5 linked regions of the Nothobranchius furzeri genome follow. The protein of the gene in region 2 purifies or fractionates together with the protein of the main gene of each other region. This does not show direct contact. Links are inferred from orthologs where the notes say so. Each region holds a gene or a part of one and is shown on either strand. Other genes may lie near its edges.

Region 1 (6,419 bases), on a different chromosome or scaffold from region 2:
ATTCATTATTTTTAGCCAGAACATTTATGATAATTTACCATAACATAAATTATCACTTTTTTTCTAAATAAAACACCCCTCAGAGCACTTAAAATAAAAGCTATTATTTCTTTCTGTGAGACCCCCAAACCAAATTATTCAACCTGACATGTTGCACTCATATTTAAAACCCTAATTAAAAAATTATCAAAGCAAATAATAGTTTGTAGATTTAACCAATGCGACAGTAAAGCAAAATATAAATCTGAAAAATACATACCTGCACTTATTAATGCAAATTTGCTTATTTCTGACTGTTTATGCAAATAAAAAGCAGTCATAGTTTTCAAAGAACTGTTTATTATATGAAAATGATGACGGAACAGATTATTATTGTGTTTTAACTCATTAAAGACGGAACACAACAAAAACTGCCTCATGAACTCAAAATCATTTGCATTTAGTCATGATAAAAACAAACAAACAAATACTGAAAGTTTGGGATTGTTAAAGGATGCAGGTCAGACTTACTGATGCTCAAACATCAAACCAAACAGGATCCGCTTAAACCCATTTTTCTCCTTGTTGACAGATTTTAAGTAAACAAAACAACCTTTTATAAGTTTGTTCCAGCTGACAGCATCATGCTACCAGAACTTTAATCCGGACAGCACCCTCGCAGCCTCCTGCCGCTTGTCTCCAGGACAGTACTTGCGTGTGTGCGCTCTGTCCCCGGTGGCCTTACAGTTGGGACAGGTGTACTTCCGGAGGACGGGGCAGAGCACCTTCCCGTCGTCAGATTTGAGCTTGTGGGACCGGTACACCTTAGGAGACTCTCCGTTCTGCTTGCAGAAACTGCAGCTGCTTGCAGAAGCCCCGTTGTTGCTGCTGCTGTTGCTGCTGCTGCTGGAACTAGTCTCTGCGGAGATGCTGGAAGTCCTGCGCCTGGATGGGGTCTGGAGGTGTCGCCAATGGGGGTCCTTCTCGGGCTCCTCTGGAGCCACCTCCCTCTGGTCGCGCTTCTCCAGAAGGCTGCTCAGGTTCATGTAATCATGCCACATGTCGAAGCAGTCGCCACCGTGCAGGAACGAGCTCTGGACGTCCACCCCACCTTGCATCTTTATGGAACAAAAATGTGCAATGGTTTGCGTTAGAGAGCATCGTTGCATATTTATAGGCGCCAGTAAGTCGTTTTAAATTGCAACAATGTTGATGTCTTGCAGGTGTTTGGGTTGTGCAGGGTAATGGCTTTGTTTGAACACTTAAGGGCAGTTGCATTTATTTAGGTAAAAAAAATGTTAAAACACGTGCAAAGGTAAATATTTTTCACAATGTAGGCCTACTACAATCTGTGGAATGTTGTTATTGTTATTTCCTGAAGCCCCAATCAACAAAATATAAACAATGACTTTACTACAGAGTAGTCCGTGGATTAAGATGTTTATGATCTTTATTTTTGAATACTTGTGCAAAAATTTGATTATTAAAAATTATAAATGAACGCATATTTTATCTTTTTCCAAACTTTAAAAAGGTGCACCTGTTTTGCTCTGGTGCACGCTTTTCGATATTTGCGCCTGTGACACATTTAGATGTTAATATTTAGATTTTGTAATTGCATGTGTTGCCTAAGTTTGTAAATGTAGTTTAAGGACAAATCACAAAAGCAAAACATGAAAACAACAATAATAAGTGATGGTGAAAATGTCTTGCATACACTGTGATCAGTGTGTGTGCATGTGTGTGTTCCTGTGTGTTTATGTGCATGTGTGGCTACCTTGCCGACCCACCGTTAACCCCTTAATGATCCTTGGCGCCTCAGTGTCTCATCTAAAACACTTCAAAATAAACACCTGCACCGTTTGAAAAATGTTCAGTAAAACTGACAGAACGCATCGCTCTTTGAAGTTAAAACAAATCTGTCAACCCCTAATTGTGAGTGGGATGACTCTTTTGGCTTCTGAACCTTAACACGTTCAACTTTTGACCTACACTTTCACTTTTGAAGACGTTTTCACCCTTTTAATCAATGGAAGCGTCATATTTACAAAACAAAAGCCTCGTGTGGGCGTGGCCACAGAAGCGTACGAGGACTCCTCGTACGTGCCTCGAGGCGCATGCGTAGTTATTTACCGGTGACGGCTGTACAAACGGTGGCCTAACGAACAAGGGGATTACGAGCACAACCCGATAGGTAAAATAAGTAAAACATTTACACTTTTTTATTTATTATGTTTAGAAAGCCTTTACATTGACAAGATGTTTTACCATTTTTGCCAGAGACATCTGGGAAACGCCAGACTGTCCGCAGTGCTAAGCTTGGTCTCGACCTAAGCTAACATCCAGCTAGCCACTAGCTTACGGAGTTGAGTAGGAGGCTAATACCCGCTGTGATATAAGCAGCCTGACCCTGTCTGTACGTTGCTGTAGTACTACCTTGTGTTTTTAGTAGTGTCAGTTGACTTCGACAGGTTTTCTTCACCAAAATTGACATGTTTGGTTTCCTGCAGCCCACGCAGTAAATTCAGAGAATGCTAACCTGCTAGCAAGGTCTCTTAATACTTTAGCTGAAGCAATGTTTGTTTAGAGGAATGATCTACTCATTGACTGTGAAAGAGACTGCTGAAGTAGCAGTGTGATCCACCCAACCTTTTGCTATGACTGTCAGAGGATACTGGGCGACGTTTAATTCATGAAGGAGGCTAAAACCAAGATTAGGATCTGCTCTGATCCAGCTATGCTAAAACAATGGCTCCTAATCCTAGTCAAGTCTGTGTCGATCATAGGTATTTCTGTGCTCTCAGGCATCACTATGAGTCAAAGTAAGGACAATGCACGACTCAAGAGCTACAAAAACAAGTCTCTTAACACAGATGAGATGAGGAGGAGGAGGGAAGAGGAAGGCCTGCAACTTAGGAAACAGAAGAAGGATGAACAAGTAAGTCAATGGTTAATGTGACCGTAAATGAATAAAATGTCAGAATTTGCAACCAAATAAGCATCTTGTTCTTTTATAGCTTTTTAAAAGGAGGAATGTTGCCACTGTGGAGGATGAGGGCACCCTTGAGGATGATGGAATGGCTGATAGTGGCTATCTGGAATCTCAGGCTAACAACCTGGACCCACTAATGGTGGGAAAATATTCCTTCTTTTTCTGCAATCAACTCTTTTTATTTATATATTTATTTTACTACCGTTTAAAATCACATGTCAAATAAATTCTTATTTTGTCACCTCACAGGGTGGGGTGATCTCTGATGACATGATTCAGATGATCTTCTCCAGCTCTCCGGAGCAGCAGTTGATAGGCACTCAGCGCTTTAGGAAGCTTCTTTCAAAAGGTTGGCTTTTTTTTTCCTTTTTTTAAATGTGTGCATTTTAAACCATGCACCCTGTTTCAAAACATCATGATTTACTACCTGAGTTGAAACATTTAGTGGTTACATTCCTACAAATGTTTTTCTTGCGCAGAACCCAACCCACCCATCGACGAAGTTATTGCCACTCCGGGGGTGGTCGAGTGTTTTGTTGAGTTTCTGAAGAGGAGAGAAAATTGCACATTGCAGGTTTATTTCCCAAAGTTAAATAAAATTTCCTCCTCGTGTTGGACCGCATCCTCTCTCTGCCTTGTATGGTGTCTCTAATTCTGCTCATGGTTTAATACATTTAAGCCTTTTTTGTAATTATCTTTGTAGTTTGAGGCAGCTTGGGTGCTGACCAACATTGCTTCAGGGACATCCCACCAGACGCGGGTTGTGATCCAGGCTGGAGCTGTGCCCATCTTCATAGAGATGCTGAGCTCAGATTTTGAAGACGTTCAGGAACAGGTTGGTCGAGTTTTCAGGCTTATTTCTGCATCAACAACCTTATATCTGTTAACTTTTTTTTAACAAAAACATGCAAGAACTGGCCTGTGATGTTCTTGTTATACAAAATCATACATTCATGTAGTGCTTGTTGTCTAAAATGAATAGTTGTTTCACTCCTCAGGCAGTGTGGGCATTGGGTAACATAGCAGGTGACAGCACAGAATGCAGAAACTTTGTCATCAACTGCAACATCCTGCCTTCCCTGCTGCAGTACGTCATTGATCTCTTTGTATAATTTTAGAAAATAAAAATGGAAAAAACAGCATCTTTAGGAATTTTTGCTTTGTTAAATCCCGCTTTTAGGTTATTGGCCAAACAGAATCGCCTAACGATGATGAGGAACGCCGTGTGGGCGCTCTCAAACCTGTGTAGAGGAAAGAACCCACCCCCAGACTTTGCTAAGGTAATTTGCCAAGATATACTATCGCTATGGCAACTGCACATCAGAGCACATTTCAAGGTCACAGGCAGGATGGTCTTCTAATTGAATCCAAAAGCAAATTTCCTCTTAAATCTCCTCATGTTCTCCTCCTTGCCCCGTCCAGGTGTCCCCATGTCTCTGTGTGCTGTCCTGGCTGCTGTTTGTTAACGACACAGACATCTTGGCTGATGCATGCTGGGCACTGTCCTACCTATCTGATGGGCCTAATGACAAAATCCAGGCTGTTATTGACTCAGGAGTCTGTCGGAGGCTAGTGGAGTTGTTGATGTAAGAATTGAAACTTTTTTATTCTGCAGCGTGTTGTAGAAGCGTGTGTCCAGTCCCAGATTCTTTCATATGATCCACACATCTCCTTCCCTTTAGGCACTCTGATTATAAAGTGGTGTCTCCAGCTCTGCGGGCTGTTGGGAACATCGTCACTGGCGATGATCTGCAGACACAAGTAATGACATCATCAACACAAACTGTTAAATAAACATGAATGTTCTGATTTGAATCTGATTTTTATTTATCCTTTCAGGTGATCCTGAACTGTTCAGCTCTGCAGTCCCTACTTTACCTCCTGAGCAGCCCAAAGGAGTCTATCAAGAAGGAAGCTTGTTGGACCATTTCCAACATCACCGCAGGGAATCGAGCACAAATACAGGTTATTCTACACAGTTTTCTTTCTTCTTTTTTTTTTTTAACTACTTCATCTCGTAACAGGGATGTCAAAGTCAAATACACAGAGGGCCAAAAATACAAATTGGCTATAAGCCGAGGACCGGACTGGTTCAATGTTTATTAAAACATATTGAAATGATTGCACGTAGCCTATTGAACCAAGACCTAACGCAGTGTATTATTTAATGATTAAATCAATAATGGGGAAAGCATTTTTCAGCAGGCACACAGACAAGAACAAACTGCCTTCAAAGAAAAATCACGTCCTGTACATTAAATGAATAAAGTAATATTTTCTTATGGCTCTGTCAGTAAGCTAAAAAGAAAACATTTTCAACAGGCAAACAGCAAAAAAGCAATTTTCCTTCAAAAACAAAACATGTTCCTTACATCAAGATGAATGCTTAAATGAAACTGCATGCATTATAAACTGAAAATGCAATATTGTGCTGCTCTATTATCCTACCAATTACTGCTTCAAATAGTAAAATGAAAAAATGTAGAATAAATCAAATTCTTTCTCATGGCTCTTATCTGCAATTTCCCCTGAGTCCATTAACTAAAATAAATATAAATAAAATACAGTACAATACAATAAAATGCAAAAATATATGGCACACTGACAAAACAATACTTCCTTCAAAGAAAAATCATGTCTTGTAGAAACAAATGTAAAATTTTAACCGAATTAAAAACTAAAGATACGTTAATGCTCTGTGATGCTCACTTCTCTGAGCCTGATACTTGATGGTGTCTCATCTTTTGTACAAGCTCATCAATGTTCGGGGTAAGGCTCTGAGCTGAGGAAATCCTCAAGATTGAGTGAAGGTGCTGATCAGTGAGACGGTTCCTGTGTGGTGTTTTGTTTAGCTTCATCAAAGAGAACAGTTGTTCGCACAGGTATGTGCTGCCAAACATAGAGAGCGTCTGAGCAGCTTGGATGCGCAGCTCGGCCATTGTGTCGGGAATGAAACGTGCAAACTCGGCAGCACCCACTCGCTCATACTTTTCCTTCAGTGTGTCATTGCACTGAAGCTCAATCAACTCCATTTGTAGGTTTGGTGGTGCGCTTTCCACGTCAACTGCAAAAGGATTGCTGAGCAGTTGAAACTTGCATTTTTGGGCTTCAAACTCAGCAAATCGGCGTCGGAAGTCGGCGGCAAGTATGTTGAGTTTGTCAGCAAACTGCACTCGGGAACACAGCGGTAGAGAGCTTCTCTTTCATGGTCTCGCAGCTGGGAAAGTGGCTCAAGTTTTCTTTCCGGATCTGCATCTCCCACAGACTCGGCTTGGTTTTGAATGCCTGCACTGTACTGTACATATCAGAGATGACACGCCCCCGTCCCTGCAGCTGCAGGTTCATCACATTCAGATGGCTCGTGATGTCGCACAGAAATGCCATTTCACACAGAAAATTTTCATCTCGGACCTCTGTTGTGTCTTTCCCTTTGCTTTCAATGAACAGA
Region 2 (6,510 bases):
AAGCTTAAAACAAGCTACTCGACCTCTTTAAAAAAGTATTTATAATTATGACTGTTTATCAACCTACCAGTTCTGAAAGAAGAAAGCTAGTTCTGTTCCTAAAGCTGTCACGATTCACACACACAGGAGGTGTGACGACAGCCAGGAGGTCAGGTGTTGTGAGAAATTGTGTACCCCTGAAATATCCTGTCCCCCGTGTCGGGAGATCGCACTTCTGGCTATTTTCCACAACATTTGTGATCAACTTTTACGGGGAAAATGATGCAATGTATTGTAATAATGTTGCGCTTGTGGTTTTTATCTGTATTTCCTCCTAAAAACAATAAAAAAGATACAGTAAAAACATTCTCGTTCACTCTTTTGCAGCAAGCTTATTTATCTTTTTTGAAAGTTATGTAAAAAGATGTAATCTCACTCAGTTTAACCATCTTTTATTTGAGGTTGTTAAGTCATCATGATGGACAATAAGTTCTGTGGATTTGGAAATGTTTGCTCTTGACTGCCCAAAGGAAACAGAATATTTCAGGGCAACATAATTTCCCACCACACCCGTTTCACGTAGATCACGGAGCGCACCGCTCGATGTAAACAAACTGGCTGCTGCTACAAGCTTATATGGATATGGAGCGATCACTGGCTGATCGTTAGCCACGGCTGGTGAAGCAGGGTTGGTGAGGGGGGGACACGCTGTGGAGATCAAGTAAACAACGCTGACTTAGCCACCAGCTAATTGTGGCTCACGGCTGGCGTGGTGGAGATGGGCATCACGAGCTACTAGTTAGCCATGGCTAGAGCCGGAGAGACGCATAAACTCCCACGGATTACCAGCAAAAGGAGACCCAGGTCTAAAGGTAACGTTTGAGAAGAAGCCCTCTGAGTCGGAGCGTCTCTGTAATGCGTGGAGAACTACATCGCTGTTAGTAGAGTGTTGTGGAGATAAAAGTAAACCACGCTGATTAGCCACTGGCTAGCGCACGAGCACTGGAGCGTGTTGGGAGAGACGGCAGGCTGCGGGAAGAGAGGAGACTTGAGTAGAAGGACTTTAGTACAGACACGTTGGGACCGGATCGGGAGTTCTGGTTCTACGAAAAGATGGATGAACAACTTGAGGTGAGTTTGGGAGTCAGAGACACTAATCAGAGGCTGGCTTCCAGATAATGGCGGGCGGGGATCTTGTGTTGGACATGACGAGGAATGGACAAATTTGATGTCTTTTGATTTAGTTGTTTTTAATTCAAACTAACAAGTAGAGCAACGGTGTAGCTATTCTTTTCTATTTCTTAGTTGAATTAGCAGACTTCATGCTTCCAGGGCACACTGCTGCCCTCTGCTGGTTCTTTCAGGTTACAGTCATAGTCCAAACGGTAACGTGGAGCTCGTATGTCCCTAAACAGCTACTGTATTTTAAGATGGTGGATGACCATGGAGCCTCGACCACAGATTATGTATATAAAATGTATAACTATATAAGTTTGCAGTTTGTGAACTGCAAACACAGGATTTGATAGTAAACTGGTAAAAAATATCACACACTGGGCCTTTAAGCAAGTTCACATTATGAACCAAAATGACCGTAAACCTCACCTGTCCTCCAGATTTGCCACGCCCGTACTGCCTGCCCTCCTTGAAGCCTGCGTCCCAGTCTGTCCTGATGATCCGGTCATCCAGCCGGGTACCGTTAACGAAGCGCATGGCGTTCTCTGCGTCTCCTCGTGTGTAGTATCTGGTACAGGCGCAGCTAAGGTCCACACTCTGTTCATTTTCACATCAATGCTACCCTTTTAATACACGACCAGTCAAGACAGAAACACTGTTGACATTTAAACGGTTTGTTTTCTTGTGCATCAATTGGCTTTACTAGATCAGGTGACGATAGAGCAGCAGTACCTCAGGAGGTAGAGTGGGTTGTCTAGTAATTGGAAGGTTGTAGGTTTGATCCCGGCTCCAGCCAGAGAATGCTGCTGTTGTGTCCTTGGGCGAAACTTTTAATCTGCCTTGTCTGCTGGTGGTGGTCAGTAGGACCGGTTGTGCCAGTCTATGCACCCAGGGCAGCTGTGGCAACATTGTAGCTCATCATCACCAGCGTGTGAATGTGTGGGTGGGTGACTAATTGTGTTGTAAAGCACCTTGGGGGGCTGTAGAACCTTAAGAAGATGCTATACAGATACAGGCCATTTACCAATAGTTTAAAAGGATACTCAACAAAACAGAATCCGCAGGCAGTCTTCTTGATTTTATCCAGGCCGATGATGATACGCTTCACGTCTCCACATTTAGCAAACAACTCGTGCACCTGTTCATATTAGCAGTGATTCGAAATATGCCTTCAATCTAGTATAAACCAGCCACAACCGTCTAGTTTTTATAAGCCAACATTCATCAGATCTCAGTAGTAGCTACATCGATCTTGAACATCGGATTATTTAGCTGGTTATAACCACGTTTAGAAGTTCTGAAAGGTTTTCATGGAATAATGTAAGAAGTAAAGCAGTCCTCAGGAAGCCGAAGCTAGCTTTATTTAAAGGTCTTACCTGCTCTTCCGTTGTGTAAAAGGAGAGGTTCCCAACATACAGAGTGTTACTGTGCTTTAGCAGCTTCTCCTGTTCATAACGATTACCCTAAAAACAAACATGACATAAAACTACTCTTAGAGCAGGAGAAAAACACATTTACATACAAAAGTCGAATTCATTCACCTTCTCCCTTACCTTAAAGTGTTGATCTCTATATTGACTAATCTCAGTGTAAGAATCGCTGGTTAAAGCGTTTAGTTTAGAAGACATTTTGGATAAATGACTACTTAGGCAGAATGCTAACGACGCGAGTTTGGATGATGTACTTCCGGGTATTTTGTCCGTCCACTAAATACATCCGGGAGGAAACACGGAGGATCGCTAAATTAGATCATTTTGCGTTTGCTTACAATTTTTTTTTAAGTTTTCGCCTTCATCCGAGCTTTGTAGTTGTTTGTGTGTGTGTTTCTTCTTAGTGTATTAGTGGGAAAAACGCAGAATGCTTTCAAAACTGGAAGTGTTAATCATTTATCAAGAATCAAAAAAGCAGTGAATGGACATAATCTAAATCAAGTCAAATCAATATTTGGTGTGACCATCTTTTGCCTTTAGAACAGCATCAGTTCTAGGTGCACACACACATTTGTTGAAGGAACTGGGCTGGTTCTAAACATCTTGGAGAACTAACCACAGATCATCGGTGGATATGGACTTCTTCACATCCTTCTGTCTCTTCCTGTAATCCTAGACACACGATTGATGTTGAGATCAGGCTCTGTGGGACCAGACCATCACTTTCAGGATTTCTTGTATTTTGGTGCACTTGGACTGCACGTACCTTTTGACCCTAAGGTGGTAGAGAACAAGAGAACCAAGCTCCTGTGGGACTTCCAGACCCAGACTGACAAAATGGTGATGGTGAACCAACCGGACATTGTGGTGGTGGACAAACCACAGAGATCAGCCGTTGTGGTTGATGTGGCGATACCAAGTCATGCAAATCCGGGAAAAGGAGCACGAGAAACTAGAAAAGTACCAGGGCCTCAAAGAAGAACTTAAGCTGGAGAGTGAAGACATCGGTGGTGCCCATGGTCATCAGGGCAATAACCCCCAAACTGCAGGAGTGGCTAAAGCAGATCCAAGGAAAACAATCAGACCTCTCAGTCCAGAAAAGTGCAGTTCTAGGAACAGCTAATATACTGCAGAACCCTCAAGATCCCAAGCCTCTGGTAGAGGACCCAAGGTTGGAAGGATGAGACCACCCACGGAGGGTGAGATGGGGATTTTTATATCAGCATCAGAAGTGTTTTAATGCCATATATGTGCAAGAAATCTCATTAGCAAATTACTGATTTTATATATATATATATATATATATATTCTTTTTCTTCCAACATCAACACCTTCTGCAGTTTTTTTTAAATATTTTTATTTGTACATCTTAAATTCGATTTAAACATTTGCATCTTTATGCTTCTTTTTTTTTATAAACCACGTCCTGTCTGGCTGTAAAGCAATCAGAATTTATGTCTGAACGCTGAAGACGAACCTTACAGTTTTACTCTGTCGGCTAATTTTTGTTTTCGGGCGTTTTACTTGGACCTGAAAGGACGTTTAATTGCTTCTGTTTGAAATATAAATAAAACTGCCTTGTCTAAATGAGATGGTGTAATGGATTAACTTCTAACTAAACCTAATCATTCCTTCATAAACATATGTTTAGGAAAGCAAATACCCAAGGGTATTGAGTCAGTGTCGTCTTCCTCCGCTTATCCGGGTCCGGGTCGCGGGGGCAGCATCCCATCTAGGGAGCTCCAGACCGTCCTCTCCCCGGCCACCTCCACCAGCTCCTCCGGCAGGACCCCAAGGCGTTCCCGGACCAGATTGGAGATGTAACCTCTCCAACGTGTCCTGGGTCGACCCGGGGGCCTCCTGCTGGCAGGACATGCCCGAAACACCTCCCCAGGGAGGCGTCCAGGAGGCATCCTGACCAGATGCCCAAACCACCTCAACTGACTCCTTTCGATCCGGAGGAGCAGCGGTTCTACTCCGAGTCCCTCCCGAATCTCCGAGCTCCTCACCCTATCTCTAAGGCTGAGCCCGGCCACCCTACGGAGGAAACTCATTTCGGCCGCTTGTATCCGCGATCTCGTTCTTTCGGTCATTACCCAAAGCTCATGACCATAGGTGAGGATTGGGACGTAGATCGACCGGTAAATCGAGAGCCTGGCTTTCTGGCTCAGCTCCCTCTTCACCACGACAGATCGGCTCAGCGTCATCACTGCAGACGCCGAACCAATCCGCCTGTCGATCTCCCGATCCCTCCTACCCTCACTCGTGAACAAGACCCCGAGATACTTAAACTCCTCCACTTGAGGTAGGACCTCTCCCCCGACCCGGAGTTGGCAAGCCACCCTTTTCCGGTCGAGAACCATGGTCTCAGATTTGGAGGTGCTGATCCTCATCCCAGCCGCTTCACACTCAGCCGTGAACCTACCCAGCAAGAGCTGAAGGTCAGAGCTGGATGAAGCTAGGACAGTCAGTGAGTCAGTGTACTTTTCTATATAATTACGAAGATGTGGTGCCATTGGCTACTGTCTGGATCCCTCCCATTGTTTTCCTTTTACATTTTAACTTGTGACAACAGACCTGCGCAAAAGTAACCGCACAAACTTACAAGGGAACCACAAGGTCAACATTTTATTTTTCTAACTCAAACTCGTAAACAAAACATCACCTATAACAACATGGCCTCCAGCATGCCTCTTGTTTCATTATAAAAATCACTTGTGAAAAACAAGTCCTAAAGAACTGGCATGAATGTTGTTACAAGCCTGAGGCAAAAAATAAAAAATAAACTGGACACAGATGCTAAATGAGAATTTTTCCAAGTGTTTTACCAGAACAGTCATCTGTTTTCTACAGTAATGAAGTCCAGTTAAAGGAGAACAGCAGCTCCGCTGAGCGGAGTCGGCTCAACTTCCAGATTTTGCTGGAAATCTTGTAAGGAGTCGGATGACCTCAACTTAATGCTGCAACAACTCCTGGGACCTGAAAGATAAAAAGAGTATTCATGTAACAGGAATCATCAGTGTGTCTTATTGGTCAGGCAGATTTTGTTCAAGGTTTCACCACAAGATGGCACTGTGATTTTGTGAATGCCCTAAAAAGTTAATTTAAAGTATTATTTTTCATGTCTTCAATACATTTTGTAGCATTTACAGGTGCACAGAACGAATCATTTTTGATATTTGAGTAATTTTGAATTGGTTTATTTGATAAGGTGTGTTTAAGAGCGTTGTGACGTCACTTCCCGTCTCTCGTAGATTTGATGCGCACGGACTAATTTGTGTGCTTTCTTCTTCGTAAATATGTTTCTATTTTTGGCTAAATTTCACATACACAAAAGCAAAGTCCTTGGCAGGAAACCTGAACTTCTTGTATTAAAAATGGAACTTGAACAATATATAAGGACGATCTCCTCATCAAAAAACACAAAGGCTCTTAAGTCTGTTAACATTTGTAACCATCTGAAACTGTTCGATTGACTTAACCTCTTCCAAACCTTTCTTTTTTTTATTCTTCCTTTTTCTCCATCATTTCTGTCGTTCTTCATTGTAATACCACAATGGTATACTTTGTGCTCCATGCCTTACAATTGTATGTTCAAAATGTGCTAAATAAAGTTATATTAAAAAACGGACAAATTTGTGCTAATTAAGAACATTTTCGAAGAAAGTAAAGTGTTTAAGTCTACCGGTTTGTCTACTAGCAGGCCAAAGTGGTACGTTTATTCTTTATTTATAAAATATGTTAGCTAACTTAAGGCAACTAACTTGTTAATTTGTACATGATTTATGCTTTTTCATTAGTTCTACGGTGTTCATGTGGTGTAAAGATAAAGAAGATGCAAGACCGCATTAAACATCAGTAAAAGGAACGCTCGTGTCTCTCGTGTACGTGAACAAGCCGGCACAAAAACTGAAAAACGAACGTT
Region 3 (4,880 bases), on a different chromosome or scaffold from region 2:
AACAACTTTTCATTAGCAAGTAAAAATCTTGCAAACATAAGCTTGTATCAAATGCAGATACAAGGCAACAAAATTGTAAATCTTTAAAGTGGCTCGGTCTAGTCTGCTAGTTCATGACTGTACACCCCTTCTATAGCTTTGTTCAGTAATATAAACTAGTCCCCCAAACAAAAGCAAAAAAACATGGCCGCTTGTTACAGCCACACCCATTATTTAAAGCCCCGGTGTGACCACCCCCGTCGCCGCTCTGACCCCCACTAAGTAGTTAGCAGCCAATCAGCAGATTATAAAATCTGAGACCAGGACAAGAGTTGGGATTAAAGTTTGACACCTTAAACCCAAATAAAACAGAACATGGGACGGTACATTAAAAATAAAAATAAACCGTCACCACAACAGAACGGACTAAATAAGAGCCTATTCTGATCCAATCAGCATGTCATTACAAGTCAAAAACAAACAAAACAAAGAAATATTGCTCAAAAAAAAAACATCCCCTGCCATCTTTGACAGTTATTCATACAATGACTGTCAGCTGCAGCAGCTTTGTACAGGCTTTATGTTTACATATATTTATATTCATATACTCATTAGACGGCAAGGAGAGATACACATCACGTTTTGTACAATTATTCAAATTGAGTGATGACATGTGACCTCTTCATCAAAAGTAGTTAAGTACAATAAAAGATCAGGACCTGCACTCCGTGGGTCCCTTTCTGCAGGCAGACACTGTCGTGCCTCTCAGACGTGTGCATAAGACTGAATAAAGTAAAAACCAACAGACCCAACCGTACAAAGCTGAGACATGAAACATTTGTTCTGAGAGGATTAAAACAAAAATAAAACACAACCTTATGGTCAGATGAGCAATTCTGGACTTTTCGCTTTAACATACGTTTTTGTTAAGCTCCTCCCCCTTTCAGAGTTTTCACATTACAGGAGAGTCTCAAAAACAAAACAAAAAAATCTGTTCACATAGCCAGGTGGGAACACACAGGAGAAAGTGATATTCCTCTTCTCTTAAGGTCTCTGTTGCCATTCCCTGTGTGACAGGGTTCCACGTCCATTTATACCAAAATCTACCTTCTGACTCAGAAACAGTTTGCAGCTGAATGTGGTTAAAAAAAATAATAAAATGGCATTTCTTCACATTTTAGATATTTTCTTAAATTCAGTACAGGAAAAAAGTGACGTCTGAGTCAGAAGTCCCCGTTAGTGAGTTTGCCACGAAGTCTTCTCCTTTTTGCCTTGGAGCCCTTTCTTTTCCCCGATTTGCCCAAAGACTCTCCTGGGAGGGCAGTGGGGGGTCTGTGGGTGATCATGGCTTAGCTCTGGGATTAAATCTTTAGACGAGTGAAAGAGGAGTGTGCCTGGCCTTTAGGAATCAGTGTGACCAAGTGTTTTTGTGTGCGAGTGTGTGTCGGGGGGGGGGGGGGGTACACCAAAAGACAATCCAGGGGAGGGAGAGCACAAAAATAACCCAACAAACAGCAGTATTTCTTCCCCATGTGTGATATAATTTCTAACAGAAATAAGCACACGAGTCTTAAGTGTCAAAAGTGTGTTTACATATATGTATATATTTATATATAACTGTGTGTGTGTGCGCACCTGTTTGTGTTTGTAAATGTGCTTGTGTTGTCTTTAGTGAAGACTTGACAATTGGCAAACAAATCTTGCCAAGGCTTTTTCTTCCTTCTGCTTTTTTTACCTTCGACGGATCCTCAGGAGCTCTGGCGGCACCGACAGCCGTCCTCGCGCGGGTTGCCGAGGCGCCTGTCGGATCACCAGGACTCCAAAAAAAAAAAGAATCGCACTGCTCCAAAAAGAATGACACTTTGAAGAAAAGGAGAAAAAAACTTAAGGAAAAAAATAAATAAAACGACCCCGCAGTGCAGAGGTGGAGAAAGCATCTCAGTGGTGAGATCCATGTCGAAGTGATGCTTTGAAAATCCTTCAGTACCGGATTGCCAGATTGTTGGAGATGGATGCAATGATTACAGAGTACCCATGCAGCGATGGGAACCAAAAATCCTCCGGCTTTTAGAAATTAAACTCCTTTGTTTGCATGTTGGACGCTGGATCAAAGTTGAAGGTTCCTCCTTGAGTGGTCTCAGGGATCAAGCTAGGGTCTTCGTCAATCTGGAAAAGAAACTAGGAGATATCACACCAAGCTGCAGAGGGAAAAACCTGAAGTAGAAAAAGAAATCCCTGATGGTGAACTTACATCATCTCCTGAAAAGTACTGATCAATAATCTCAAAGGCTAGTTTGTAGATGTCTTCGTTCTCATGCTGCTGCAAATTTTCTATTTTCTCCAAACCTTCACATAAAAAACATAAAAGATATCTTGTGTTATCACCAAAATGTTGTAAACCCAAGAGCATCAAGTTAAATGGAAATGACTAAATAACCTCCACACTCCTCTATGATCTCAGTGATGGTGCTGGCTTCGTCTCCAGCCATGATGAGGATGTTCTTCAGGCCGTCCAGGACGACCTGCACCACCTGAGAGTCTTTCACCGACAGCAGGCTGCAGAACGGAGGGATGACGTTCTGCTCCACCAGGAACTCCACCTACACAAACCCATACATACACACCACTTTATCGTAACACAGATATGTGGTTACAAGTCTGGAGGACGGCCTCCTTAAATCATTTACATGGACTTACAGGATGTGAAATATTCAGATAAACATTTAAAAGTGTGGTCGTGTTGCCAAGTTAAAAGTGTAAGGCTCCAGCTCACCTGGTCTTTCCTCCCACTGATGGTGAGGTTGCTGATGGCCCATGCTGCCTCCTTCTGAGTGCCAAAGTCGCCCTGTGGAGAACCAGGCTGTCATTGAGATCCACTTCCAGAGCATATTGTCAGATGCTCACCACATTTGTGACCATCTTATGAGATTTTTATTTGCCTGAACTGAAAGAATCCGTTTCACAATGTGTAAAAATCATAAAACATATTTCTAAAGCCTGATCCGCCCCCATCTGTGGAGAAAGGTGAATAACTACGAGAGTTTTTAGGTTTTCTGCTGCTCCCGTGCCGTGCACAAACCTTAGCCAGTTGGTGGATGACCATAGGAATTAACCCAGCATCGATCACAGCCTGGACCTGCTGCTGGTTCCCTGCTGTAATGTTGGACAAGAACCAGACTGCTTCCTGCAAACACAAGCAGTCAAGATCAGCCCCTTAACTTCATCCCCAAAACAGCCTTTCAGCCACATCTGGATCCAATTCAGCTTCGTTTATGCTTCATTTTGCATTAATGACTCACTTTAACGATCTTACTTCCATAACAGGTGTTATATTAAATGTAAGGAAGACTTCTGTGGGTGTATTTCGTCGGAAGTGATGATTGTTTTACAAAAACCACACCCCTCTCATTCGTAAAGGGACGGAAATGCGAGGAGCCTTAAGAGTCCCGTTTCCAGTTCGAATTACCTTGTTGATCTTTTCTTTAGGGTGGGTGAGCAGGTTGGGGAAGTGCGAGAGAACATCACAGTTTAGAACCACCTGTGTCTGCTCGTCTGTTCCCGTCACGATGTTCCCGACGGCCCTCAGAGCTGCTGTCTGGATTTGCAGGAGAAAGAATGACGAGACAACTTCAGATTAATTCGCCGATTAAAATTAACGCATTAAAACAGCAAAGAGCTCTGCATGAAAACAATTTTACCTGAACTTTGACCTCCTGATGGCTGAGGAGAGGCACAAGAAATGGAACGACCCCAGAATCAATGACCATTTGGATCTGCTCGTTGCCTCCGTCCGTCAGATAAGACAGAGCCCAGACTGTGTCTACTAGTATCTACACACACCAACATAATACAGTTAACAACTCTGAGAAAAGACATGCATGGGACGAGCACGTTGCAGGCAGAAACTTACATTAATATCAGTGTGATATATAAGCACACAGAGGGCCGGCAGAATCTGTGGGCAAAGACGAGAGGATTTTAAGTCAAATCAAAGAACAGAGCAGAAACAAACAGCTTGAACTGTCACTAGTCTAAGACTATCCTGGGTGAACGCAGACAACAACACAAAGATAGGTCTAGTATACAAAAGCGTGCCCAGACACGCCCACCTCTTGCACAGTCTCCATGGGCGGTGGCGGATCCTTGTTGCGGCAGAGGTTAACAATGACCCAGGTGACGTTGCGGAGGAAGGTGATGGGGATAGACGGGTTGATGAAAGAGAGCAGGGGCTTGACCACGCCCAGTGAAATGACATAATCCCTGCACTGTGGACCATCACCTGAGCAGGCGACAGGAGAGATCTCAGCATCACGGCTGCATTTGCCCCAGCCTACGTTCCGCCCGAGGGTCGTACTCACCGATAATGTTTCCCAGAGCCCAAACGGCCTGTTCACACACGTTCTGGTGAGGAGAGTGGAGCAGCCGCAGGAACAAGGGGACCGCATCTGGATACGAAAAAAACTTAAGTCAGAACTAGGTGGCAGCTTGTGGAGCAGGTTTCCTGGAGAAGATTTAAAGCCAAAATTAAAAAAAATCTAGGATTCCTGCTCTCAACATCACACAGAAACATGATGGACTGGTCCCAGTTCGGATCAGTATTGATGATGGGTCTCATTTACTCGGGAATTTTACACAACATCTGAGCTGGGGCCTCGTTTATCAAGCTTGCTTACGCACAAAACACAGTCGGAAAACTGCGTAAGCAACTTTCCACACAATCTTTGGGATTCATGAAAGAAAACAGCGGAAAAATGTACGCAACTTTAAGTTGACTAAGGACCTGGCTTACACACATGTTAGACATGCAGAGCACCTGCAGTGCTGCTGCTGAGAAGGATAAAATTATGCAGCATTATCACTTGTACTGCTTCGTTTCCACAAAGAACAAGACCCCCCGCACG
Region 4 (6,616 bases), on a different chromosome or scaffold from region 2:
AATTTAATAAAAACCAGATTTCATGATGTCAGTTAGTCCATGTCCCACCAGGGGCGACGTTAGGCCCGGCTACTTGGGCTCAAGCCCCGAATGTTTTATGAAAAGCCCCGGATCGTGGAAGTAACATGCAGTACCAAAGTCCAACAGAGAGGGAGCAGCTGGCAGTAGTCTGGATACAGCCTGCCTGAGCCTCCACCACTGAAGAAGCCTTTCAGCAGCCGGCTTCTTCTACACTCTCTGCCTGAAACGCATGAGTGAAGATGGACATAAGGACGTTTTTTAGACAAAAAGTACAACGACAGAACCCCAGCTTTGATGAGACTGGTGTTGACTCAGGTTTGTGAGTCTTATTTGAAAATATTTGTTGTGCTGCTGGTTTGCCTAAAGTTAGCTTACTATCAGGTAAAGTTGTTGGAGAAAGAAAGGGAATATTTACTATCATCTCACACTAAACACTAACAGGAACAATACTCTGCCCTGAAAATGCTTAATATGTAGCTTCAGATTAAAAATTATGTGGTACAAGACAAATATACAGTATATGATGTTGACTAGTGCGTGTCACGCGCACGCGTGTGTGTGTGTTAAGCCCCGGATCTTCTTCAGTCCTAAATCCGCCCGTGTCCCACCAAAAATAAAGGATTGATTAAATGTTTTGTACTCCGATTGCTGCTGCAGCCCCTGACAGAGAAGGCTGTTGTGTATTTCTTATTATGGCACTCGTTTTCAGATAAAAAATTAATAAAAACTTTTTTCCACATTCCCGAAAATAAGCTGTTTCTTGAGCCACAAAAAAGGGACTTTTTTGCTATTTTCTAAATTTGTTCAAAAAAATGTTTGCTATATATTTTTGCTGAAGCCCATTTTTGCTGCTCCAATTAAAACAAAAATAATGTAAATCATAATTTTATTTCTTATCACTATTATTCCAGAGAGGACACAAGATTCTGTAGTTTTTGTCCACTAACCTTTTTTTTATATGGAAACAAAAGGAGCCGTTAAGAGTAATGTTGAAATGTCTGAACCAGAAGCCAGATTCAATCAGAAACTGATGTTTAGTGCAGGAGTGTTTGAACTGTTAAGTGTTACACATGCAGCACTGAAAACAATAAAGGATAAATACGATGATGGAAAAAGACTAAACGACTTATTAAATTCTACTTTACATCACTCAGGCCTTATTGATGTCCAGATAGTGTCGAAGTATGCATTTATTTTATGAAGAAACTATTTTTTATAAAGGGCCTAAGATAAAAACCATGAGGCACTTTACAAGGACAATAAAAAATGATCAAAAACCATCGTAAATTAAAAATTGGAGGAAAAAAATGAAAGAAAAATATAAAAGTATGTATAGTATGTTTTGTTATACTGTAATAGCCGTAAATGTGGTTCATCCAAAAGCAGCACCTTAAACATTTAGTGTTGCTGTCATCTAGTGGACAAAAGTCTGCACTGCAAAAGCTGTCATGGGAGAGGGGTTATTCTGATCTGTCTGGGACCAAACCTGCGTGTTGCTGTTAGAAACCTTTCTTTCTGCATGACAGAATCACAGAAGCAAGACTTCCTGCTTTACTGAACATTTTTCTTCAACAGTTCTTTTATTTGTCCTGCAATGACACACTAACACAATACCTCTTTATATACTGAAATCAGCAAAGATTTTTTTAAATTCAGATCCAGGATATAATTTTGAACACAAACAGAGTATTTTTCATTTGTTAGCATTAATGTTTCTTTTATTTCTAAAGGTAAATAAAAAATGGAATACAAACAAACAGTGTGACTTCAATGACTCCTTTAGTTTTCAGTGCTCCTTTTTCATCTCAGTTCTGGTTTTCTATGATCACACACAGGGATGTGTTCAGAAAACCTCCAGGTCTGTCGAGTTATAGACCACCGCCGTCTCCTCGGTTCCCACAGCAACCTCCTCCTGACCCGCCTCCTCTTCCTCTGCAGCCTCCTCCAGAGATTCCAAGGCCTCGTTAGTATCACTAGCAAAGGTTTCCCTGGAGACGTCGTCATGCTCATGCAGGTTCAGAGTGCCGATGGCCTGCTTCATCTTCTTAGCCAGCTCATGCCGCCTCCTCTTCTGCGCTGCCTTCTTGCTCTTGTAATCTTTCTGATGTTCCTCAAAAAATATCTTCCTGATCTGGGACTTGGAGACGCTGGGCGTGTTCTTCAGCAGGTTGAGGAATACTCCACCGGGAGTCCTCCGCCTGCTGCCATCCATAGTGTAAACACCACCGTTTTCCTCCAGTGTGGCGGTCTCACCCAGCAGTTCTATGGCTTTTTGTGATCCAATAACGCGAACAACTCGCTCTATCAGATCTTTTTTAGGCTCCTGCAGTCTGTATGTAATCTCGTCCACCACCTTGTCCTCGGGGTCGTCTTCAGTGATTTCAAATCGACCCTTGATGTCCATCTCAGCTATGGCGCCAAGTCTTTCTTTGGCGGGTCTTTTCCTCTTAACATCATTCCCTGCCTTCTCTTGTGAACCCCGGCCCTTCATGTAGGCCTCCAGTTCAGCATCTAGCATGGTCTCCTCTTCTCCCTGCTTTGACTGCTTCTCCATCTCTCTCTCCTTCTCCATCATCTTTCGGGCTAGAACAAAGTTATAAGTCTCCACACTTCTGCTGGACATGCTGACACCCTCCATACCAAAGATGCCTAGCTCTGAGGTGATGGCATCCTGGCACTGCTCCTGGACCACGGAACCCCAAATATTGTTTACCTTGCGACTTCCAAGCGCACCCGGGGCGGGCACGGGCCTCGGACCAGGCAGAGCAGACCCTGCAGGCTGCTGTGGAGCTCCAGACACTTTCTGTCTCTTTCGGCGCCACATGGCCGAATCCTCGTCTGAAGAATCCGGATCACTGTCGCTGGACTCCACCGCCTTAGCGGAGCTTCGGTATGGGGCGGCAGGCGGCCGGGTGGCGGCTCGTTGCTGAAAGGACTGCCCGCTAAAAGCCGAGGAAGCCTCGGTTCGGTCAGGTTCTGCTGCAGCCGTTCCCATTTCGGTGTCCGAGTTGGACCCAGAGATTTCTCCATCTTCCAAGTCACCGTCCATCAGTTCGGCCATTCGGTAGCCTACCTGGAAGTCAGAGCCAACAACAGAGGCTGTTATCAACACCTTTGTCTCTGAAGTTCGGGTTACTCATAGCTAACTCCACAGCACGTTAGCGGCTAACAAACTCAATGCTAAGGCCGGCCACAAAATAATGCAATGAACACCTTAAAGAGCCCGATAGAAAGCTCTATTCCGCAGGCGAATGTAGTTTAAATCAGCTTGGCGACTCCTCAACGCAACGATTAACGAACGCACCAACTTACGAAAGAGCCAGAGGTGAATTGGCGCTGGCTAAAGCGCCACTTCCGCCTGGGAACTGTCAGAACGTTTCAAAATAAAACTACAACTACGCATTTTACATATTGTGGTTGTGGATGCGTAATTTTTGGCATTTTATCTGTTGTGTTATTTATTATATGTCCTAAAATCAAGAATATTGCTTTCCTATGTAATATGATCTCAGAAAACTCCCCAAGTTTCAAGGATTTTAATACAGTGTCACTATGCAGGTGTACACTTACTAGCATTGTCAACATACTAAACATGGGCCAAAATATTATATGTTAAATGTAGCATGTTTACAAATGTATGTGTGTGTGTGTGTGTGTGTGTGTGTGGGGGGGGGGGGGGGGTCATTAAAACGCATTTATTTATACGTCAATGTAATTTCGTCCAAATATAAATTATTTCTTTATAATTAAAGTTTTTATTATCTTCAGATTTTTTATAACGTACAAGAACATACAAAAACAAAATTCTATGCAACCTGGTAGGAGTATGGTAGTATCTATGCAACACCTTGTACTGTATAAATTTACTTCTAGCCTCTTTCACATATTTACCACTGTCTGATAAGACATTTAGCCATTTTTCATTTGTGTATTCTGTTTCCAAGTCCCGCTGCCAAAGTAGTTTAATGCCTAAAGACTCCCCACTTAAACCATGATTAAACAGTTTATAAAACACCGAAGCAGTGTGGCGGTCACGTGGCATTTTAATATAACCTAAAATATCATTCTCAGGAACTTCCTTAAATTTAGAAGTCACACAATGTCTCATTTGGAGGTATTTCCAAAAATGTCCTTTACCTTGCAATTTGTAAGTATGGGTTAGATCCTCGTAAGACATAAAGTTTCCATCTTTACACAGATCTCCAATATTACATATACCACGTGAGTGCCACTGTCAAATATAAATTATTGAGTTCCGGGTTCTAAGAAACATTAGTATTTCTCAAAGCAACTGCTTTTATTTTTTAAAGAACCAAAGCACCACCTTCTCTTCCTTGTCCGTAGCGGAAGTTGCGTGACGCACGCATGCGCACATTTACAAATAAACAATATGGCAGCGTCATTTCATCTTCTCACATCTGCGGGGAGAATTATTTTACAAAGAAACTTACTCAAGAGTAATTATCTCAGCGGGGTAAGAATGATTAAAATCGATTTTAATCGATCATGGTTTATTGGGCAGCAGTAGTTCAACAGGTTGAGCGGGTTGTCCAGTAATCGGAAGGTTGCAGGTTCGATCCCGGCTCCGGACAGAGAATTCTGCTGTTGTGTCCTTGGGCAAGACACTTAACCCACGTTGCCTGCTGGTGGTGGTCGGAGGGTCCGGTGGCGCCTGTGCTCGGCAGCCTCACCTCTGTCAGTGCGCCCCAGGGCAGCTGTGGCTACATCGTAGCTCATCACCATCAGTGTGTGAATGTGTGTGTGTGTGTGTGTGAATGGATGAATGATACACTGTAGTGTAAAATGCTTTGGAGTCCTTACTGTGAGAGGCGCTACACAAGTGCGGGTCATTTATCATATATTGTCTACAGGACGCTTGAAACTAGGTTTTAGCCGGCTCACTGTTTAACATAGCCGCTACAGGCTAACTGTGATAAATCCTTATGTTTGGTTGGAGTGAAATAGCGGGTATTGTTTCTCAACGTCAAGGAACCTTGTCTTGATGTCTTGGCCCCGCCCCGGTTGCCTAGGAGATACGCCATCAGGAGCCGCCAAGACGTGTTCCAATCGGTTCCAATGACCTTCCCCACTAGAAGCTGGATGTTCTACCGAGGCGTGTGTTCTCCGTTTGTTCTTCCATTTAACCGATTTCTTTGATCAAGGAAGGACAGTGTCCTCGTAAGCAAGGCGCCTCGCAAGACATCGCCTCGCAAGGCGCCTTGACATTGAGAAACACCCTCCGTCAGTATAACAACAATGCTATGTAGTTAACTAGTACTGATTAACAGCAGCTGGTCTAACTCTGAAGACTCATACTGACTTGCTGATTTTGTGACTGTAGCGGCGGCTGTTGGCTACTCGGGCTGCCCACCAGGTGGCGCTAAATGTCCCAGAAACTAAAGTTACTACTTTAGAAAACGGACTGCGGGTGGCTTCAGAGGACTCCGGCCTTACTACGTGCACAGTAAGTTCAAATCCTAAATGAACAGCATGTGGGTCAAACAGCAACCATGTACTTTAAACATCCAGCCATTAAATTTACAGTTTTTTTTGTCAATACTGGATCAGAGTACTGGATAGTTATCCCACCACCATGATTCAGTCACCATAGCTTCACCCTAGTCATGCATCAGATGTAAGCTGGAGGATTATGTTGTAAAATCTGTTTTCTTTTCAAAGTTTGAGCCCCTCATGCTGAAAAGGCCTCTCACAAGGACCGGTGGAGAGAACATTGATAAGTGGTTTCTTTCAGGTGGGGCTGTGGATAGATGCTGGCAGTCGCTATGAGAATGAGAGGAATAACGGCACAGCACACTTCTTGGAGCACATGGCATTTAAGGTGAGAAGGCTGCAGCTGTGAATATTTAATCTGTGTGTTTATCTGGAAGAGGAAATGTTCATTTGAATGTTTGCGTGCTGCAGGGCACCAGGAAACGCTCTCAGCTGGACCTGGAGTTGGAGATAGAGAACATGGGAGCTCATCTGAACGCGTACACATCCCGGGAGCAGACGGTCTACTATGCCAAAGCGTTCTCAAAGGATCTCCCACGAGGTACAGACCAAGAGCATCGACCTGACGAAAATGGAAGTTTTGGTCTGCAGCTATACTACTTTTCTAGTAGCAGCTCACACGAGTAATGCTGCAACAAGAGAGCTCCAGAAAGTTCAACAAACTGTTGATGTGTTTGATTCCAGAATGCTTGATTAGTTCAGTCAACTGGGATTGTCCTCATCCTGATGTGAAAAGGCCTGATCAATGGAGCTCAATGTCCCAATTAACCACATCTGCTTTTAAAATAAAGATAAATCAAATCTAGTCTAGGTGGGAAAAGATCACATGATATAATCGAGGAAATCCTGTTCTCATCTTAATTGGACTTCAAAAGAAAGTGAAGCCATGTTGCTTAAAACCTGCCAAGAGCAGATTTAGTTCACATTGTCGGTTGCCATGGTGATAGTTACTTTGTAATTATATAACATTGCAGCATTCTACTATCTCAGCCTTTATTCATGCTGTCTTTGCATTAACACAATAACATACATTTGTATTCCAAACCATTCGCCATCCAGTTTTGTGATAAAAAACTGTTTTCCG
Region 5 (6,391 bases), on a different chromosome or scaffold from region 2:
CATTAAGAGCTAGCGTCAGCTAGCCAACTTTAACCGAGCCCGTCTGTCAGCACAGCACTCCTGTTTATGGTGCATTTTCATCCGTGATCACCACAAAAGCAGGTTGTTTTAGGGATTTTCACTATTATTTATCTGCAAGCCAGTGCCGACACGAAAGTAGCCTGGATCCCTGCTCCGACTGCTGCAGGTTTCCAGGCGACAAAGGCTGAGACTACTTCCAAGAACAATAATATCAGAATTCAGCTACACAGAATCTTCCATTAAAACAAACTGATATTTAAAAATAATTTTAAAACGCTTCAATTAAAAATTAAAAGCAAGAGGAATAGCAGGCAGCAGGCCAACTCCGTGGCCCGTGGGAGCTGCTCCCATCCAGCAAATACACCCAGCCTTCCTAGCTAGTGTGTGGGAATACGCTCGGGGGTTGAAGCGGTGCTAGCTACCTGTTAGTCGCAGCTTCACGGGTCCATTCCGCCGAACTCCTTGATTAGACATCTCCTCTTGGACCGAGACTTCTCTGGAGCAGCTACAAAAACGCCGGGTGTCGGATTAAAAAAAAAAAATCAACCTCTGCGCCACTTTTAGACAATAATGGAGTCAAAGCATTGCGGCCCGGAGGTGGACCGAACTGCCACAGCGGTCGCTCATAAATGCGAAAATAAGGGAGAAAAGGGCGGGTGTAACATACTTTAGAGTACATTCACCAAAATGAAAATGTAACGTTTGGACCCCGTAGCTGAGGCGCGGGGAGAGGCTGGTGTGGGCTCGCTGAGGGAGGCGGTGTTTGTCTTCACATCTTCGGAGAGAACCTCCGCCTGCCTCGGTCCTCCTCTCAGCTCCTCCTGAGCTCAAGTGCGGAGCCTCCGGGTTAGTCCCGCCGCACGAGCTGACCGGTGACGACAGCACCCACCGGGGGAGCCAGACATCACACACACACACCTGTCTTTCTATCATAGCGAGGACCATCAATTGACTCCCATTCATTTTGACTGCAGTATGCCTAACCGTAAAACTCAATTCACACCCTACTTCTAAACCCAAACTGGTAAGCTTTATATATATATATATTTATAAAAATCCTCACTTAAAAAAAAAAGTTGCCTCATAAGTGTTCACTTTTTTTCACTTGCAGCCTCTGAAAAGGCAGCAGCCATTTAAACCAAATATTAAGTTTTTATATTTAAAATCCGTCATCAAAACCACTTCAGCCTAGGTGTTGCAGGGTAGCTTGTAGCACACACACACACAGCCCATAACAAGCATCATAAACTTTATTTACAAGTGTGTAGAGGTTAAAACCGTACATTAGATACAGGAAAACAGCAGAAGAACACAAACATAGGACACAGGTACAGTAAACAGAAAAAAGGGTCATCTAGAAGTTGAAAGTGCTTTGGTTTTCACTGATCTGGAATGCAAACCCTTCCTCTGTAGCTTCAGGAGCCACACACAGCACCTCCTCCTCCTAAAACAAAAACACACGAGTCCATGAGACAAACAAACATTTAACTGGTCACACCTTCACTGCCACACTCACCTCTTCAGAGAAATACTTCTCAATCAGGTTGAGGGCAGCTTTGTAGATCATCTCGTTCTCGTGAGACTGCAGCGCCTCGATCTTGTCCAGTCCGCCGCATTCTTCGATCATCAGACTCAGCTTGTCGGCCTCTCCGATTTTATCCCCAGCCTGACGAATCCGACAGACAAGTTTCAGGACCGTGAAGCCACACACGAGAAATCAGCTGATCCAGTCCATTCACACATGTGCTCACCATGAAAATATTAGTTATTGCGTCCAAGATGACGAGGACCGTTTTGCTGTCCTTGGAGGAGAGCAGATTCAGAAGAGGCTCGAGAACATTGACCTGCACCAGATACACCACCTGCTGAACAGTGCCCCCACTGGTGAAGTTTGTAACTGCCCACACCGCTTCTTTTTGAGTTTTGTAGTCACCCTGGAGAAGCAAAAATAAAAATATATTTCTAAACTGTTAGAAGAAAAATAAAGTTTACTCAACAATCTTGTGACACGACGACATACCTGAACGAGCATTTCCACCATGTATGGAACGAGGCCTGCGTCGATGACCTCCTGGATCTGCGTGTCCTTCCCAGCTGTGATGTTGGACAGAGTCCAGGCTGCCTCCTTCTGGATGTTGGGCTTCTTGTGGCGCAGCAGGTGAGGGAACATGGTCAGCGCCTTGGCGTCCAGCACCGCTTGAGTCTGCTCGTCTGTGCCGGTGACGATGTTTCCGATGGCACGCAGCGCCGGAGTCTGGGGGAGGATGATCCATTAACAACCGGGTCCAAGTTGTGTCTCAGTGCAAGGACACGAGGTTTAAGACGGCTGAAGCCCACAGAAACCATACTTGCCAGAAAAGTTACTTACAACTATAGACAGCGCCTCAAAGCCGAGCAGATTCACCAGGCGAGGAATCAGCCCCGTCTGGACCACCACCTCGATACGGTCGTTGGAGCCGTCAGTCAGGTAGGACACGGCCCAGCATGCATCAGCAAGCACCTCCAGGTCATTGTGATGCAGGAGACGAATGAGAGCAGGTAGGAGCTGTTCGATTGCACTCATCGGAGGAGAAGGATTCTTGTTACGGCACAGGTTTGAAATAGTCCAAGTCACATTCCTCAGGTAGCCAGGCTACAGAGAACAGAAGAGCAGGTGTCAGACTAAAGGGGTGAATTATTTTATTGGGTTAGGACACCACCTAGTGGCGGGAGGGATTAACGATTACAGGAATGCGACCATTTCCCAAATGGAGTTCTTGGAAAATGTAAAATCCGAGAAGACTTACACTAAAGACAGTCCAGTCAGGAACTTCCAGCAGCCTGAGTAAAGGTGCCACAGCACCGTGCTTAATTACCATATCTCTGAGAGCAGATCCATCACCTATACAAATAAAAAAATTTAAGTTATTTAGGTTAAAAAAAAACTTGCCTAAAGAATAACTCTGCACTTACCTGCAATGTTTCCAAGAGCCCAGACTGCCTGCTCGCTGATGTGCTGGTGGGGGGATAGGACCAGGTTAATGAAGGCAGGAATGGCCCCACCCTCCACAACAGCAGCCGTCTGATCCGATGTGCCAGAGGCGATGTTCGTCAGAGCCCAGGACGCCTCAAACTGGATAGGAGGACAGTCCGTCAGGCCGAGGAAGGCCACGAACTTGGATATCAGACCAACGCTGATCATCTGATCAATGGGAGGGCGCTTGTCTCGTGACAGAAGTTTCCTGATGACAGAACATCACGGTTGAAGTTACTGCATCAATACTGGTTTACTTTGGAATTTGCAACGTTAAAAAAAAAGACTGTTACCGTGCAGCCTGGGTGGCTTGAAGCTGAGACTCCAGATTACCGCTGTTCACCCCAGTAACGATCTCCTCCACGGTCCATTGTCTTAAATTCTGCTAATGGGGCAAAAGTGGGTCATAATTTAGTGGAAAAAGTTAAGAAACAGGGCTCAAAATCAAAGTACGAGGCTCGGGGTTTGCAACTTTCACCAGATACTGGGACTATTCACCCCCCTACAGCTTAAGATGCAGACCACGTCCTTAACGAATGACACCTGAAGTCTCACCTGGCCGTTCTGAGTTCTTTCCTGGAGAGGAGAAGTGGCCTCTTCCGGTTCTGTGCACACGTTCCTCCTTTTGAAGATCTGGTCGTCTTTCTTGGCTTTTCGAAGCTCGACGTTCACCTCAGCCCTCCTGCGCCGAAGCTCCTGCGTCAGATTCAAACGAATTCAAGTTCAACACAAGTCTGCGCATTCTACCCCGATCACTGACGCTGGGTGCAGCGAGTCTTACGTTAACGTCTTTGCCTTTGTTCTTGAATTTGTTCAGACGTGCGACGTTCTCGGACATTTTCAAGCTAGTGGACTTGAGTAGATGCAAAGTTGGTTCAATTCCTGCGGAAACACGTTTATTTCACACGAAGGTTAATCGATTTGCTCCGAGCTGCCTCGTGACACCATGAGCCGTCAGAAACCGCCGAGCGCTTTACTTCCTGTTTGAAATTAGTTCATTGCTAGTTAATTAAAATAGTGAAATCACGGCTTGGACAGACGAAACAGAAGGGGAAGAAATCGTAAACACGTTTCAAACTTTCCGAATGAGCAGCAAGACCTCACTCACCTGGACTGGAACAGTTGTGATATGGAGAAAATACCGCACAGACCTTTAAATTCCTACTAGACTCGCCTCTGATTGGCCCGTTCGAGCCCAAACGTCGAGCCCTGAGCGTTCATTGGACTGTTCAAAAATTTCATAACACGCACCGGAAATGTCGTTACGTTACGAGAATATCGCGAGACTTATATAACAGCGCTTGTTGGGTTAGATTGTAGTGTTAAAAATAAATCTTTTCACTCTTGTAGGCTAGAAAATAAATGTCCAACACACCAAAGTTAGCGAAAGCCAAAAACTAAATCTAATTTAAAACGGAGCAGCAAACTTTTACTAAAGTCGAGTGAGGTTTTTTTTTAATATTTAAAGAGCAAGTAACCTCTAAATTAACTTTTTTTGCTGATAAACTGTATAAATGAGTGTCTAATAGTGTTTTAAATGTGTGTATTCATTTTTTATAATTTTTTTCTCAGAATTATGAGAAACCAAGTCAGGATTCTGAGATTAAAGTCAGAATCGGTTTCTGTTTGAGACAGCAGGGGAAAATAATGTATAAATAATTCAGATTACATTTAGGCACACACAATTAAGCAAATCTGACACATTTATAGTAATTATGTAAATATATATTGTAATTTTGAGATTTTTTAGTCAGGGATGGAGATTCCTATGGACGAGCTGAGAGTGATGCAGTGTAGTTCAGATATTTTTCATTTGTAACACAAAAAAATCAAGTCAAGAACTGATGAATTTTTTATTTCATTTTTATACAAAAAGGGCAGGAACCTTCAAATACATAATTTTCATACTTCTCAGTCACTACTGCAAATTCACTTACAATAGCCTTTTACCATATTTTCAGTAGGATATATAGAAGTTTAACCAAGATGACTACTGATGTCCAAATATTTAGTAAACTTTCTTTCATGCCACCTCAGACTAAAAAGATAAGTGGAAATGAGTGGCGGGGAAGATAGTCGTCTGAATTCAGACGAATCTCATGGTACATGATGCTCAGTAAAGCTCAGCCATTGTACATCAGTCTTGAAGTTTCTGTTATGAGCTGACATGAAGACCACAAGAAAGGCCTGAGGATTTTTTTTACAAAAAAAAAAAAGGGTTAAAAGAAAATTACACGGAATCGAGAGCTCAGCTCCAGAAGTAAACTTTATCTGAAGTGCCTCCGCTGTCCTCGCACCACCTCCTCCCAAGTGCAGAGCTTCTTATGAAGACAGGTCCCGAGACGCCCGCCTTGCAGCTGAAAACGTGCAGAGGGCAGCTCTGTCTGAAAAACGCCGTGAAAGCAGCAGTGCTGGTTGACTCGGTCGCCCGGCAGCGTGTTGTAGAGTCGGTCTGGAAAAGCCGTTTTCTTGGCGAGTGCATTTTCTACACAGCATTTTTCTAAGAGACCGAAGAAGCCTGAAGTTTGTTGTTATGAGACCTACAGGATGTGGAGAAAGGGGAAGAAATGAAAGCTCCTCACACTTTTATTGCTGTTCTTGCTAGGAATAATCAGACAGAATGGGTGAATGGAGTTTTCAGCAGCCATGTTGGTGTAATGAGCGGGAATGTCTTTATTAGTGAATAAACCTTCCACAACTACAAACTGAGGTTATGTTTTAAAGTAAAGGACCACAAGGCCACTCTCCACCCCCGTCAGGTGATTTCAGACCCATAGAAGTATTTTTCCAATCTAAAACAATGATTTAAAAGTCGGACAAAGTCGCTGTACACGCTAAAAGGTATGTACACTCTAGAGGACCACCTTAGAACATCCAGATGAAATCAAACTGAGGGTGAAGCCGCATACAAACATCTGTATAAATATCTTCATAATAAAATATGCACCTTTCATCTCAACATATCAAATTCAGCTGAGATGCTGAACAATAATAAATACAACTTAGAAAGCAAAACTCATTAAAATCCTACGGAACATTTAGGAAGTTTCACAAAGGCCCGATGTCTGATTCGATATGATGGCGATGATGAAGATGGAGTCAAAGTGGTTGCTGTTTGACTAGGAATTCTGTCGACTATGATCAGAGCTTCTTCTTTAAAACTTCGAGAGGGGGAGGGGGGAGCACATTTGGTGGTCGTTTTTCTTTCCTTGAGCTTTTGGAAACTGTTTTCATGCCAATTTCACAAGAGACACCCAGCATCCAGTCCAGACTCCTGCTAGACTGGCAAACTTAAGAATCTGACAATCTGTAAGAAAAGAGGAGATGGGATGGCTTAAATCAAAGGCATGCAGCAAA

What was found.
Region 1: the proteins of ncbp2 (region 2) and kpna1 purify together in Homo sapiens (affinity purification with mass spectrometry; 3 studies listed by BioGRID and IntAct, with this or other methods). This does not show direct contact. The link is inferred for Nothobranchius furzeri from reciprocal best matches to the Homo sapiens genes NCBP2 and KPNA1.
Region 3: the proteins of ncbp2 (region 2) and kpna3 purify together in Homo sapiens (co-immunoprecipitation; 3 studies listed by BioGRID and IntAct, with this or other methods). This does not show direct contact. The link is inferred for Nothobranchius furzeri from reciprocal best matches to the Homo sapiens genes NCBP2 and KPNA3.
Region 4: the proteins of ncbp2 (region 2) and phax purify together in Homo sapiens (affinity purification with mass spectrometry; 5 studies listed by BioGRID and IntAct, with this or other methods). This does not show direct contact. The link is inferred for Nothobranchius furzeri from reciprocal best matches to the Homo sapiens genes NCBP2 and PHAX.
Region 5: the proteins of ncbp2 (region 2) and kpna2 purify together in Homo sapiens (affinity purification with mass spectrometry; 4 studies listed by BioGRID and IntAct, with this or other methods). This does not show direct contact. The link is inferred for Nothobranchius furzeri from reciprocal best matches to the Homo sapiens genes NCBP2 and KPNA2.

What each region holds. Positions count from the first base shown.
Region 1 is NC_091747.1:50,441,944-50,448,362, forward strand, and holds the start of kpna1 (importin subunit alpha-5), read left to right. Parts: upstream 1-2,072; 5' UTR 2,073-2,173; intron 2,174-2,415; exon of another isoform or gene 2,416-2,556; intron 2,557-2,783; 5' UTR 2,784-2,791; coding exon 2,792-2,917; intron 2,918-2,996; coding exon 2,997-3,110; intron 3,111-3,220; coding exon 3,221-3,320; intron 3,321-3,450; coding exon 3,451-3,545; intron 3,546-3,674; coding exon 3,675-3,806; intron 3,807-3,969; coding exon 3,970-4,058; intron 4,059-4,151; coding exon 4,152-4,251; intron 4,252-4,393; coding exon 4,394-4,557; intron 4,558-4,653; coding exon 4,654-4,732; intron 4,733-4,810; coding exon 4,811-4,936; intron 4,937-5,676; coding exon of another isoform or gene 5,677-6,035; intron 6,036-6,144; coding exon of another isoform or gene 6,145-6,419. Other genes in the region: nanos homolog 1, read right to left, coding at 627-1,097; general transcription factor II-I repeat domain-containing protein 2-like, read right to left, coding at 5,677-6,035, 6,145-6,419. UniProt on the Homo sapiens protein: Functions in nuclear protein import as an adapter protein for nuclear receptor KPNB1. Binds specifically and directly to substrates containing either a simple or bipartite NLS motif.
Region 2 is NC_091748.1:71,741,906-71,748,415, reverse strand, and holds the start of ncbp2 (nuclear cap-binding protein subunit 2), read right to left. Parts: upstream 3,812-6,510; 5' UTR 2,784-3,811; coding exon 2,709-2,783; intron 2,619-2,708; coding exon 2,532-2,618; intron 2,294-2,531; coding exon 2,199-2,293; intron 1,724-2,198; coding exon 1,585-1,723; intron 1-1,584. UniProt on the Homo sapiens protein: Component of the cap-binding complex (CBC), which binds co-transcriptionally to the 5' cap of pre-mRNAs and is involved in various processes such as pre-mRNA splicing, translation regulation, nonsense-mediated mRNA decay, RNA-mediated gene silencing (RNAi) by microRNAs (miRNAs) and mRNA export.
Region 3 is NC_091754.1:26,736,688-26,741,567, forward strand, and holds the end of kpna3 (importin subunit alpha-4), read right to left. Parts: intron 4,425-4,880; coding exon 4,338-4,424; intron 4,259-4,337; coding exon 4,089-4,258; intron 3,935-4,088; coding exon 3,890-3,934; intron 3,810-3,889; coding exon 3,678-3,809; intron 3,575-3,677; coding exon 3,446-3,574; intron 3,164-3,445; coding exon 3,059-3,163; intron 2,825-3,058; coding exon 2,753-2,824; intron 2,580-2,752; coding exon 2,417-2,579; intron 2,326-2,416; coding exon 2,231-2,325; intron 2,146-2,230; coding exon 2,047-2,145; 3' UTR 1,820-2,046; downstream 1-1,819. UniProt on the Homo sapiens protein: Functions in nuclear protein import as an adapter protein for nuclear receptor KPNB1. Binds specifically and directly to substrates containing either a simple or bipartite NLS motif.
Region 4 is NC_091741.1:59,212,118-59,218,733, forward strand, and holds phax (phosphorylated adapter RNA export protein), read right to left. Parts: upstream 4,264-6,616; 5' UTR 4,159-4,263; intron 3,372-4,158; exon of another isoform or gene 3,235-3,371; intron 3,095-3,234; 5' UTR 3,083-3,094; coding exon 1,865-3,082; 3' UTR 1,576-1,864; downstream 1-1,575. Other genes in the region: pmpcb (mitochondrial-processing peptidase subunit beta), read left to right, coding at 4,412-4,495, 5,363-5,485, 5,774-5,860, 5,944-6,073. UniProt on the Homo sapiens protein: A phosphoprotein adapter involved in the XPO1-mediated U snRNA export from the nucleus.
Region 5 is NC_091752.1:67,642,472-67,648,862, forward strand, and holds kpna2 (importin subunit alpha-1), read right to left. Parts: upstream 4,227-6,391; 5' UTR 4,143-4,226; intron 3,917-4,142; 5' UTR 3,873-3,916; coding exon 3,816-3,872; intron 3,731-3,815; coding exon 3,590-3,730; intron 3,420-3,589; coding exon 3,328-3,419; intron 3,243-3,327; coding exon 2,974-3,242; intron 2,903-2,973; coding exon 2,808-2,902; intron 2,654-2,807; coding exon 2,390-2,653; intron 2,276-2,389; coding exon 2,042-2,275; intron 1,956-2,041; coding exon 1,773-1,955; intron 1,688-1,772; coding exon 1,538-1,687; intron 1,466-1,537; coding exon 1,376-1,465; 3' UTR 1,254-1,375; downstream 1-1,253. Other genes in the region: E3 ubiquitin-protein ligase SMURF2, read right to left, coding at 444-495; nucleosome-remodeling factor subunit BPTF, read right to left, coding at 5,535-5,574.